3 linked regions of the Cricetulus griseus genome follow. The protein of the gene in region 3 purifies or fractionates together with the protein of the main gene of each other region. This does not show direct contact. Links are inferred from orthologs where the notes say so. Each region holds a gene or a part of one and is shown on either strand. Other genes may lie near its edges.

Region 1 (3,519 bases), on a different chromosome or scaffold from region 3:
TGCATATACCAACACATATATACATGCACATACATAATTAAAGATAAAACACTTCTTAAAATAAACAGTTCCAAAGGCATTTATCCATCTGCCAGCTTGCAGAATTCAAACCCACAAGACTTCTGCCCCCAGAATGCATAGTCCAGACCTCAAAGACAAGGGAGGGCATGAGGTCAAGGCCTAGTCTCTTTCTTGCTATATCCCTCCCTTCAGTGTGATGAGGCTTCCAGCTTTCAAACCCAGAGCTTTCCACACATTCTATCTCCCTGTGAGACCTCTGGCCTCCAATTGGTAGAATTCAGGCTGCCCTGCCCTGGGTGGCTCTCTGTGGGAGGGCCATCTGCATGCCTGAGCTGCCACTCTGTCTTTTCAGGTTGTTTCGGTGGTCAGTTTGTTCTTGGAGTCTACTCTCTGGCTAAGCACAGCCATTCAGTACCACTCTTCATTCAGCTGCTGGGCTCTCCCTGTCTGGTCTCTATCAGGCTTCTGTGTGAGCACGCTCTGTAACATCCTTGTGGTCATTGTCCATAGGGAATGTGCTCAAGCCAATCCTCCATGCTCATTCTGTGTTCGCCTAAACTGAGATGACCCTCCTTTGTGTTGGGGTCTGGCTTCTTAGCTGTTATGTCTCCAAATCTCTAGTCTGTTCCCTATCGTATTACAATGAGACTCTTGAACTTATAGGCAGCCTCACCTGCATCTAGCGCCTCTCTGGCCGCCTCTCTTTCATTTCTCAAGCTTCCTGGCACCAAGACTCAGGCCCCTAGCTTGCCTCACAGATACAGCAGGGATTCTATCTCACTCTTCCAAACTTTCCACTCTGATTCTTCTTCCCAGTAGGAAAGCAGAGCCAGGAGATTTAGTTGGGTTCTTATTGTTGTTGTTTTTCCCTTACTCTTTACTTTTTTGGCTCTTCAAGGGGCCTGCCACCCAGCTGCCAAATAAATTACACACAGAGTCTTATTATTTTTTATGAATGCCTGGCCTTAGCTTAGCTTGGCTTGTTTTTAGCCAGCTTTTTTTTTTTTTTAAACTTAAATTATCCTGCCTACCATTTGCCTCTGAGCTTTTTCCTTTTCTTACTTCTGTGTATCTGACTTTCACTTTTACTCTGGTGTCTGGCTGGTCTCTAGCATCCTCCTCTCCTTGTTCTCTTGCTCCTTCCTCCTCTCAGTTTCTCCTCCCATTTATTTTCTCCATCTGTCTGCCTTTTCTTCCTCCTGCCTTGCTATCAGCCATTCAGGTCTTTATTAGACCAATTAGGTGTTTCAAACAGGCAAAGTAGCACAGCTTCACAGAGTCAAACAAATGCAACATAAAAGAATGCAAAACATCTTCACATTATAAACAAATATTCCACAGCATAAACACATGCAACACACTTTAAAATACTTTCTACAAATAGGAGGCTTTTTCCTGTGCCCTGCCTAGTATGATTTTACTTCCTTCCAGCTCAATGCCCTAGATGACTGGGGTCCACTCTAGAACTAGGGAACCTCATCTTATCTGGGACATGGGTTTTTGTCAGGCATCTTTGCTATCCTTGTAGCTTCACTGTATGGCCACTGTGTTCCTCCCTGATTCCTCTGTTCCTGTGACCTCCAAATGGAAGCATGGGTAGGGTTCCAGGCTGGGTTACTGGATATAGACTGTGAGCCTCCTCGGACATATCTTTCTGTGTTCCAGGCCCCACGCATGGGCACCTTCATTGGAGTCTACCTGCCCTGCCTGCAGAACATCTTGGGTGTCATTCTTTTCCTGCGCCTGACCTGGATTGTGGGGGCAGCTGGTGTTCTGGAGTCCTTCCTCATCGTGTCCATGTGCTGTACCTGTGTGAGTGTTCTCAGCTAGTCCTGGCACAGTTTCTGAGGAGCTGGTACTGGGGGCCCTGAGAGACTACTTTTGGGGAATCCAGGCCTGTCCTGTAGGTCCCCCTCTAGAAACAACCTGCTGCAGAGGTCTTGGGAAAGTTGGGCTGGCAAAGGCTGGGTTTCCCACTAGTCTGAGGACTTTATTTAGCTGTATCTATAGGGGTGGCATTTGTACTTCTGGGGACACCAAGGGCTGAAGTCTGGGGCAGGGGCCTCTCACTGGGTTGTGATAAGACTACCCTGAAAGGATTGTGGGCATTTTCAGGGACACAGGTCTGTAACTTGTTCAAGTCCAAGCTTGAGGGAAAGAATAAACTCAGAACCAACTCATCCCTGCCTTCAGCATGTCTCCTTATTTATAATGACATTTTTTATCATGCACGCCTGGTTTACCTTTGATTATTGCTCACAGTCTGTCTACCAGCCCTACTTTCTCTCCGTCACCTTTCTCTGATGAGAAGTATAATTTTGTTTTAGTTAACCCAAGTGTCACCTGAAAGGACAAGGGTCCTTTTTAGAAGGAATTCAAATAATATGATTGAATGGGAGTCCCTTTAACTCCTGCCCCAGGTCACATGACCACTTGTTCCCTGATAGCGCATACCTAAGTGTCTATCCTAGGGTACCCACTGTCCTTTGACTGGTCATTCCTTGTGGCTGCCTGTTCACCTGTCCCCTGACTGGTCAGTCTGTCTTGCTACTCAAGGCCACCAGTCCATGCTTCCCAACTGGTCACTTCATGTGTCTTTCCTGCCATAGCCACCCTAGGGCACTTGCCTGTATTTCCTCATTCCATGTGGCCACTCCAGGACTGTCCTCTCGTTACTCTGTGTGGGCACTTCAGGTCTGGCCACCCACTTCATTGTGGCTATTTGCACTGCTGATACCCACAAATAAACTTAGTTGAGCCAGAGGGTAGATACAAGGTGAGGTTCCTTGTGCCATGGTGAATGTACATCTAAAGTGTCCCCCTGGTGCCTCATGGGTTATTAGAGACATAATTGGGACTCCTTAGGGGCCAGGCACCTAGAATGAGATTCAGCTTTCAGGGCTGTGCTGTGCTGGGTCTGAAGCCTGTTTTCTGTGACTTTTGGGAATGGATTTGTGGGTTGAGTAGGAAAGGACTGACAGCCAGTCATTTCATGCCTCCTTTGAGGTCAGAAGCCTGCAGCCTAGGCTCAGCATGTTGGAGAATCTTGGGGCACACACTTCCTGAAAGAGCTGTTTTTCTTTGCAGACAATGCTGACTGCCATCTCTATGAGTGCCATCGCTACCAACGGTGTGGTCCCAGGTGAGGGTGCCAGCGCCTGTGGCTCTTCACCATACAGAACAAGAACTACTTGTGTGTGGTTGCCATTTACTGCCCCAGGCTCATGTGACAGTGACATTAACTGTTTGCATCAGGATGGCACTAGGTATTGTGCTGCCCATGGAGAGAAGAGAGTGGCCCTCTCCCCAGAGGCTGTGGTGTAGACGCACCCTCACTGCCTGCCTGCTCTCTGTTATGAGGACAGAAACCACACCCTAGAGATGGGCACAAACATCAGTGGAGGGCAGGTCCTTCTGAAGTTATATACTTTTATAGCTTGTGGTGACACTCCACCAAGCACTACTGCTTTGTCCTCTGCATAAAAGAGTTGGCAGGCC
Region 2 (3,519 bases), on a different chromosome or scaffold from region 3:
GTATTTCCCAATACTAAGCATAGGGCATTGATGCTGATTTGTGCAAAGGACAATGCAACCAGAGAATAAACGAGCTTGAGGTTTTCATGTCTAAGTCTGTGAGGAATGCACACACACATTGGCCCTCATAGTAAATGTTTGGACATAACGCACCACTTTCATCAATTTATCAGTGTGTGGTTAATTGTGTTTTGTTTATAACTTCTCATCCCCAAAGAGAATTTGTATCATAACCTTTTGGCTAGATGTGTTTTTACTTAAAAATCTTTATACCCACAGTACTTTTGCAATCCCATAAAAAGAAACCATCTTAATGTAGTACACTTTGCTAGATCTAATTATAAATTTTCTAGAAACTAGGAAGAGAGGAGTGGGTTACATAATAGAGAGGTATGGTCCATACATTGCAGGATATAGGGTAGGAGCTCCAGAGAATGGCAGGAGAAATTAAATAAGTTGAAAATATGAAAAACTGTACCAACCAAATATAATTATTTTTGAGAGCTTGTTTGAAAAAAAAAACTGTTTTTAAATGACCAAGACAATGGGGACAGTTGAGGCAGTTTGATTGCTGACTAGATACATGATGTTGTGAAGGGATGGCCAGATCAGTGAGCCATTACTGTTAATAGACACAACACTGAACCTTATGCAATAAAAATCTAGAGGTGCGAATGATGTCGGATTGGCCTAAGTTGTCCATGGTTGAAACCTGGTGACAGGTAGTTGGCAGTTCATTATCCTCTTTTTTTCTGCCATATGTTCATTTGAAAATTTATAAAAGGATTTGTTAGTGGTAAATCTATTTTAATAATTTGCTTCTTATTGCTATTTATCAAATTACTATCAGATTAATCTAGTATTAGTTTCCTTTATTGTGACTATTCAATACTCTTTTTCAAACTGTTTTTATGACTCATTTTCCAATTCTGTCACTTTAAGGTGATGAGCATGGTGTCAGGGTTTGCACCCTTAATCTCGGCAGGTATCTTTTCAGCCACACTTTCGTCAGCACTAGCCTCTCTAGTGAGTGCTCCCAAAATATTTCAGGTAAATGTTTTCATATTATAATTATTATTAGGGGGGTATTAAGATATTTCAAATTTTGGATTGTTGCTATATTCAAATAGGTTGCTTTTATCAACCTCATGTGTTTGATATGTTTACATATACATATCAAAATTGATATCAATTTTATGTATACAAATGATATGCAAATGCATACAGACATTTGTGCACTTTTCTAATGTCAAGTTACATGCTAGAAAAGATGATTTGGGGATCTGGAGAGATGACTCAGCTGTATGGGCTCATGCAAAAGATCCAAATTCAGTTTCCAGTGTTTACATTGGGTGGCCCATAATCCTGTGATTCCAGACACATACATAATTAAAAATGATAGGAATAAATATTGAGGGGATAAAAAGAGTGGGTTTTGCTTCTTGACATACTTAGCATAAAAGTCTAAGGTTCTCATCAAGTATTAGGAGTGCAGTCTAAGACTAATCAGAAGTAATAAATAATGATTTCAGTTAGCATGATGCCAACTTAAATTTCTTATGTGGCTAACATTACATTACTTGTAGTAGGTGCAGTGATAACTAGAATGAATGAACATTGCTTCCTGTAGAGATGACTAAGCAGATAATACTGATTAGGGTCTCATTTTTAATTACTAAGTCAGATAAATGTTGATTTTTCTAGCCTTATTCTTAATATTTTATTTGTAGCCAAAAAATATAGTAATAGTGAGGCATGTAATTTTTAAGGCAGCATCTATTAAGATTTGAAGAAAAGTGGTTAAACTTTATTATTAGGGTTTTTAATCTGCTTTTATGTTTCATATTTGGACTTAGTTTTCATAAAGCCTTAAGTACTGTATTGTACTTACCAACTTCCAATTTTCTTTTTTAATTGTACTGTTATTTGAATGTCTGCTTCAGTGATTCTTCATAGGTAGAGTTTCAAAGTGGGGTGGGCAAGATAAATAAAATCTTAAGCAGTGTTGTAAACCAACTACCCTTCTATTTGAACTATTTACATATCCTTGATAGTCTGTAGGTGAAGCCCTGTGAGACAGGAAAAAAAAAAGCATCAGAAATGAGAGACTGGGCTCCATTCTTTATTAACCTACTTTAATTGTTAGCAGATTTGTATATCTTAATTTTCATGTATTTCATTTTAATGTTTGCATTTTTTTATTAGGCACTATGTAAGGACAATATCTATCCAGCTTTCCAGATGTTTGCTAAAGGTTATGGGAAAAATAATGAACCTCTTCGTGGTTACATCTTAACATTCTTAATTGCACTTGGATTCATCCTAATTGGTTAGTTCTTTGAATGGTATATCATGTAGGTTCTGGTGTGTTTATATATAGCATTACCTATAATCATGAATATTAAATTATTAACCAAACGTGCTTTGATTTAGTGCACTAAATTAATTTCTAATGAAACCAAAGAGTAAGTAAAATACCGCAAATAATAGTGTTGGATATTTATTAAAATTATTGCTATCATGTAAAATTACAGATAGAAGAAATTACACTTTTTTTTTTTTTAAAAAAAAGACTATGTATCTCAAGCTGGCCTCCTATTATTCATAATTGTAGCCAAAGATAATCTTGAATTCCTGATGGTCCTGCCTCTATTTCCCAAGGACTAAGATTGTAGGCCTGTACTACCATAACATTTTCCTAAACTATATACGATGATAGTGTAGGGAAAGGATACTAGTGTACCCCAGGAAGGTATTGCCTCTGTCTGATCATATGTAAAGTGTGGATCTTTCACTGCTAAAGTAACATTGGACTTTCTGAAGGATTTTTGTCTAGACTCTCAATTTAATTGTCTGAAAGTCTGATCATGTCATCCATCAGTTGTAATAGCAAGATTTAAGGAAGTGTCAACCGTGGTAGATTTAGGACTATTTATTATGCTATTTAAAAATAGGAATATTTTAAAATTTGAAGTATTAAACACCATTAAATTTATTTCTTGTTTCTTTTGCAGCTGAATTGAATGTTATTGCTCCAATTATCTCTAATTTCTTCCTTGCATCATATGCGTTAATCAATTTTTCAGTATTCCATGCATCACTTGCAAAATCTCCAGGTGATTTTACATTTTAAAAATTTGTATTAATGGCTTTGATTTCAGAGGAAACAAAATTTCCACTTTTCTAAAATTTGTTGTATGTGAGTTTAGTTCGTTAAAGTTGTTTTCTTTTATAATTATGTCAAATTCAGTGCTCAAAGTTCTCTTTATTATGAAGTATTCTGGTAATAAGCTGTTTCTTTTCAAAACAGTAAAAATAGCATTTGTCGTATTAAAGAATTATTTCCTGTTTTTAAAATTTCTTTACTATTTACTTACCCGATTCAGTTCTCATAACCTTGTCATTGTTTAATAACCTTTCAAAATTTGTTCTTTTTGGTGCTGAGAATTGAACCTGGTGCTTCAAGCATGATAAGCACACGTTTTTACCAATGAGCCTAAGTGCCAGCCCCTAGCATGA
Region 3 (4,031 bases):
CTGTATTTGGAAATATTTCGTTTGAAAGCAGCAGGCAGAAACAGTTCAAAGTCATTCTGAATGATGAGCTTAAATATGAGTCAATGTAACCAGCTGTTAATTGAGAGCTTTTCCTTTAATAGGAGTGGCCCACTGCACCATGTTCTGCTGGGCCTACGTGCCAACCACCCAGTGGTCTGGGTTCTCAAGAACTCTTCTGGAATTTGTGTTCATAAAGAACAAAACTGTAAAACACTAAGTGGTGATCCTGGGCCCTCCCACGCTCCCTTCCCAGGAGCCCAGGCAATGCCTCTCCATTTCCTGCCTCTCCATTCCCTGCCTTCATGGAAACACAGAGCAGGGCTTGAGGAAGTCCACATTCCAAAGCAGCAATCAGTGAAAGGACACTGGCCATCTCCTAGGGTTTCTCTCTCTTCCCAGTTCCTCACATCAAGGAAGATAAAATTACTCTGTGCTTCTGTCTCAGTCACTGACTTTTCCCCTTTGGAAAAGCCGAGTATCAGTCAAGGAAGAATGCATGACCCCTTGTTAACACCAAGCTGTGTCTGTTGCAATGGAGATTTAGACTCTGGCTACCAAGGGTGCTAGGCACACAGCACCTAAATCATAAATAAGACCAATTCTAGGCCACTTGAGCTTACTGGCAGGAAGTAAAAAGCTTATATTTTTAATATATTTACTTTGAGACCGGTCTCACTCTGTGGCCCAGGTTGGCTTAGAATTCTCCATGTAGCCTGTGCTGGTCTTAAACTTGAGATTCTCAGGAGGCTCTGCCTCCTGGGTGTTAGAATTACAGGCACTGACTCCCACACCCACCTAAGGAACAGTTCTTTGGAAAGCATCTGTTTCTATGTACCGAGTTCCAGCCAGTGCTACGCATGAGACCCCCAACTTGAAAAATAACAAATAAACCAATAAAGCCACTGTACTTATTTTTGATCCAGTGAAATATATCATTGATTAAGAAGCCCTGAAGAGAGTTAGTCATTTTACATAAACGTGATCAATTCTTTTGGTCAATGCATCAAGCAGTTCTCCATTCCTTCTGCCTTGTTTACAATTTAGTGAGCTATCCCTTAAACACTTCTAAGCTTAAACCTGAAAGACCCCCATGAAAGTCTTCCCCAGAATGGGAAATAAGTACAGATTTTAAACTCTTAAACATTGTGAATTTAGGAAGCTAACCCCCATCAAGGATAAATATGACTACCATAGGGAAAAGGGACCTATTTGAAAAGTATTCAGAATCAATGTGCACAGTCTAGCATGATAGTCAATACACTGTAATCCTAGCACCCAGGAGACTATGGTAGAAGGAGTGCCATGAGTTCAAGGTCAGCCTGGGATATGTAATAAGTATGAGGCCGGCCAAGGCTATATTGTAAGACCCTATCTCAAGAAACAAAAGCAAAGCAAAGCAAAAAATACCAGTGACCAAGAAGGAGACAATTGCTAAGTGTGTTTGTTCTAGCCTGGAAAATCACAAGTTCAAAACCACCCTAGACCACATAGGAAGACCTTGTCTCAATCAAAAACAACAAAACACTTCCAATCTCAAATTCCATAATCACCCCTCCCAAAGACTATTGTGGTAGAAAAGCAAGCTTTTGTTATGAAACTTCAATTTTTATGGAAATAGTTGGGGGAGGCAGCTCACACCTGTAATCTTAGCACTGGGGGATACTGAGACAGGATTGAAAAGTGAAAGCCAGCCTGGGCTACATAGTGAGTTCCAGACCTGCCTAGGCTGCAGTGAGACCCCGCCTGGCCCTCCCCCAAAAAACAAATAAATAAAAATATGGAAATACATAAACTTGAAGCAAACAACTTGGAATTTCAGAAATTAGTCATATAAACACTGTGATTGCAATTGTTTTCTTCAAAATAAGCTGGGTCACTAGGTCCTGAGGTCCTCATTATCTAGAAACCCAACTCCCCAAATATTCAATCCATGCATCTTGGTTCCCTGCATTCGTGTTTGAGCAACAGACAGCAGAACAAATCCAACTTTTAAAAGCCTCCAACTAAGGCTCTACACTCTGGGAAAAACATCACCACACCCAAGACTTCCCCAGCCCAGATCTAGAGGTTATTGCACAAATCACATTTGGGCACTGATGAGTCACTTGGCTTGCAAAAGTTTAGAGATTACCGTCGTTCCTCATCTGGGAACATGCGCACTAGAGCCTGGGCAACACTTCTGTGCGGTCAGCACGCAGGGAGTGGCTGTAACCCCTGTCGCTGCTGGACCTGGTGGAGCTCACTGGCACCACAGGGCAAGATCTCTAGTGAAAGGCTGGTAGAGCTCACTGGCAACACACAGCAAAGATCTCTAGTGAAAATCTCAGCAGGTGTACCAAAGGAGCCTGCTGGCTAAGGCAGGGATCCCAGAAGCTGTCAAGAGGGTGCCCAAGCAGCCCCCCAGCGTACCGGGAGGGGGACCTGATTCCTGTGTTTTAAGCTAGGGGCAACCGCTTGGAGCCAACTGCAAGGTGGCTCTTGGGTTCACTTGAGCCAAGAGCTTCCGATGCCTGCCCAGGGCCCGCAGGCATCCCGCTGCCCCAACGATGCTCAGTAAATAGGTCTCGACTAACTTTCTCGGAGTGTTACCCGCGGGTGAGTCACGGCCGTGGACCCGTGCCAGGGACCCTAAAGGTCTCCTCCCGCCAGTCAAGCCCTTTCTTGGTGCACAGAGCAGCACCGGTCCCCCTCGCTCTGCTCCGCGCAGCTCACCTTGGTCAGTGCTCCGCCCGCTGCTCCGCTAGCTGCTGGGCGGCGGCTGGGCGCTTTTTGTACACTTCTCCCCAGCCCGGCCCGCCCTCCCGGGGCGGGGCAGCATCTCCAGGCCAGCAGGCGCCTGCCTGGACCGCGCCCCGCGGACCCCAGAGCTTCCCCAAGCTGCAACAGGGACACTCCCGCCAACCTGTGTCCCTCACCTGTGCCCGGAAAGTGGGCCCTGATCCTCGCACCCAGACACTCTCAGACTCACCGGTTCCCGAGTCTGAAGTTGCCTCTCACGGTCTCATCCTGCCTCCATTTCCTTCACCCAAAGCCTTCCCAAAAAGTGGGAAGTGACTTATGCGGGTGAGGAGAGGTAGGAGCAGGTATCCCTGACGTGACCGAGCTGTAAAAGGCAACCCCGTTTGCATTCATTCCTGCTGAATTTTGCTGTGTCTGTATACCCCAAGTTTTGGTGTTTTGATCTACTCAGAATAGTAGGTTTTTCCTCAGTGGGAATTTATTGATTAAAGAATGAATGAATGAGAGTGGATGAATGAATAAGTGAGTGAGTAAACTGCTTCCTAGAAAGATGTTTGCTTAATGATTAGAGGAGAGTACTGCGTGGCAAGGGATAGTGAAGTCAAAAGAACAGGGCGAAGCTCTGTCTGTATGAGAAGTTGTTACAAGGAACAGCCACCTTTGCAAGAAGGCTGATAACTAGTTTGGAGACATTTATTTAGATAAAAGCTGAGTGATTAGTGGTTAAGGATATTCAAGATGGTTTTTCTTTTCCGGCTTCAGATGATAACATCAGGTAATATCCACCAAACGAGTATGCACCCTGTACTGTGTCTAAGACTTTACATGCATTTATGGAGTTGGTATTGTTTTAATCCTGTTAGTTCTAAAGCACCACACACAAACACACACACACACACACACACACACACACACACACACACACACACACACACACAATGGCTGGTGACAATTTACTAAACAGAAGGACTCTGGCTGGGTAACCAGAAACTTAAAGGTAGTTTCTGTTGACCAGGAATCTCTCTTAATCTGCCCCTAAATGTCAACTACCTAGGACAAAGGCATCTAGTTCCTGGTCAATTCCAACAGGATGTATCAGTTCAAAGCCCCCCTCCCCAGTTCTGCTGACTGTCATATAAAATCCATTAGCATTTCTCCCCCCACCTGGGATGGAGTGTTACCTTGGCAGTTTGAGCCCCAATAAACCTTCCTTTCTACCCATGGAGCAGTCAGTCCAGTTTGGTAGTTTTTCTGTGCCCTTGCTTACAAAT

The links.
Region 1: the proteins of Lgals3 (region 3) and Slc12a7 purify together in Homo sapiens (affinity purification with mass spectrometry; 3 studies listed by BioGRID and IntAct, counting the BioPlex papers as one, with this or other methods). This does not show direct contact. The link is inferred for Cricetulus griseus from reciprocal best matches to the Homo sapiens genes LGALS3 and SLC12A7.
Region 2: the proteins of Lgals3 (region 3) and Slc12a2 purify together in Homo sapiens (affinity purification with mass spectrometry; 3 studies listed by BioGRID and IntAct, counting the BioPlex papers as one, with this or other methods). This does not show direct contact. The link is inferred for Cricetulus griseus from reciprocal best matches to the Homo sapiens genes LGALS3 and SLC12A2.

Annotation. Positions count from the first base shown.
Region 1 is NC_048595.1:368,458,980-368,462,498, forward strand, and holds part of Slc12a7 (solute carrier family 12 member 7), read left to right. Parts: intron 1-1,686; coding exon 1,687-1,833; intron 1,834-3,108; coding exon 3,109-3,163; intron 3,164-3,519. UniProt on the Homo sapiens protein: Mediates electroneutral potassium-chloride cotransport when activated by cell swelling. May mediate K(+) uptake into Deiters' cells in the cochlea and contribute to K(+) recycling in the inner ear.
Region 2 is NC_048595.1:181,067,996-181,071,514, reverse strand, and holds part of Slc12a2 (solute carrier family 12 member 2), read left to right. Parts: intron 1-942; coding exon 943-1,050; intron 1,051-2,205; coding exon 2,206-2,329; intron 2,330-3,014; coding exon 3,015-3,116; intron 3,117-3,519. UniProt on the Homo sapiens protein: Cation-chloride cotransporter which mediates the electroneutral transport of chloride, potassium and/or sodium ions across the membrane. Plays a vital role in the regulation of ionic balance and cell volume.
Region 3 is NW_023276807.1:203,415,421-203,419,451, reverse strand, and holds the start of Lgals3 (galectin-3), read right to left. Parts: upstream 2,820-4,031; 5' UTR 2,734-2,819; intron 1-2,733. UniProt on the Homo sapiens protein: Galactose-specific lectin which binds IgE. May mediate with the alpha-3, beta-1 integrin the stimulation by CSPG4 of endothelial cells migration.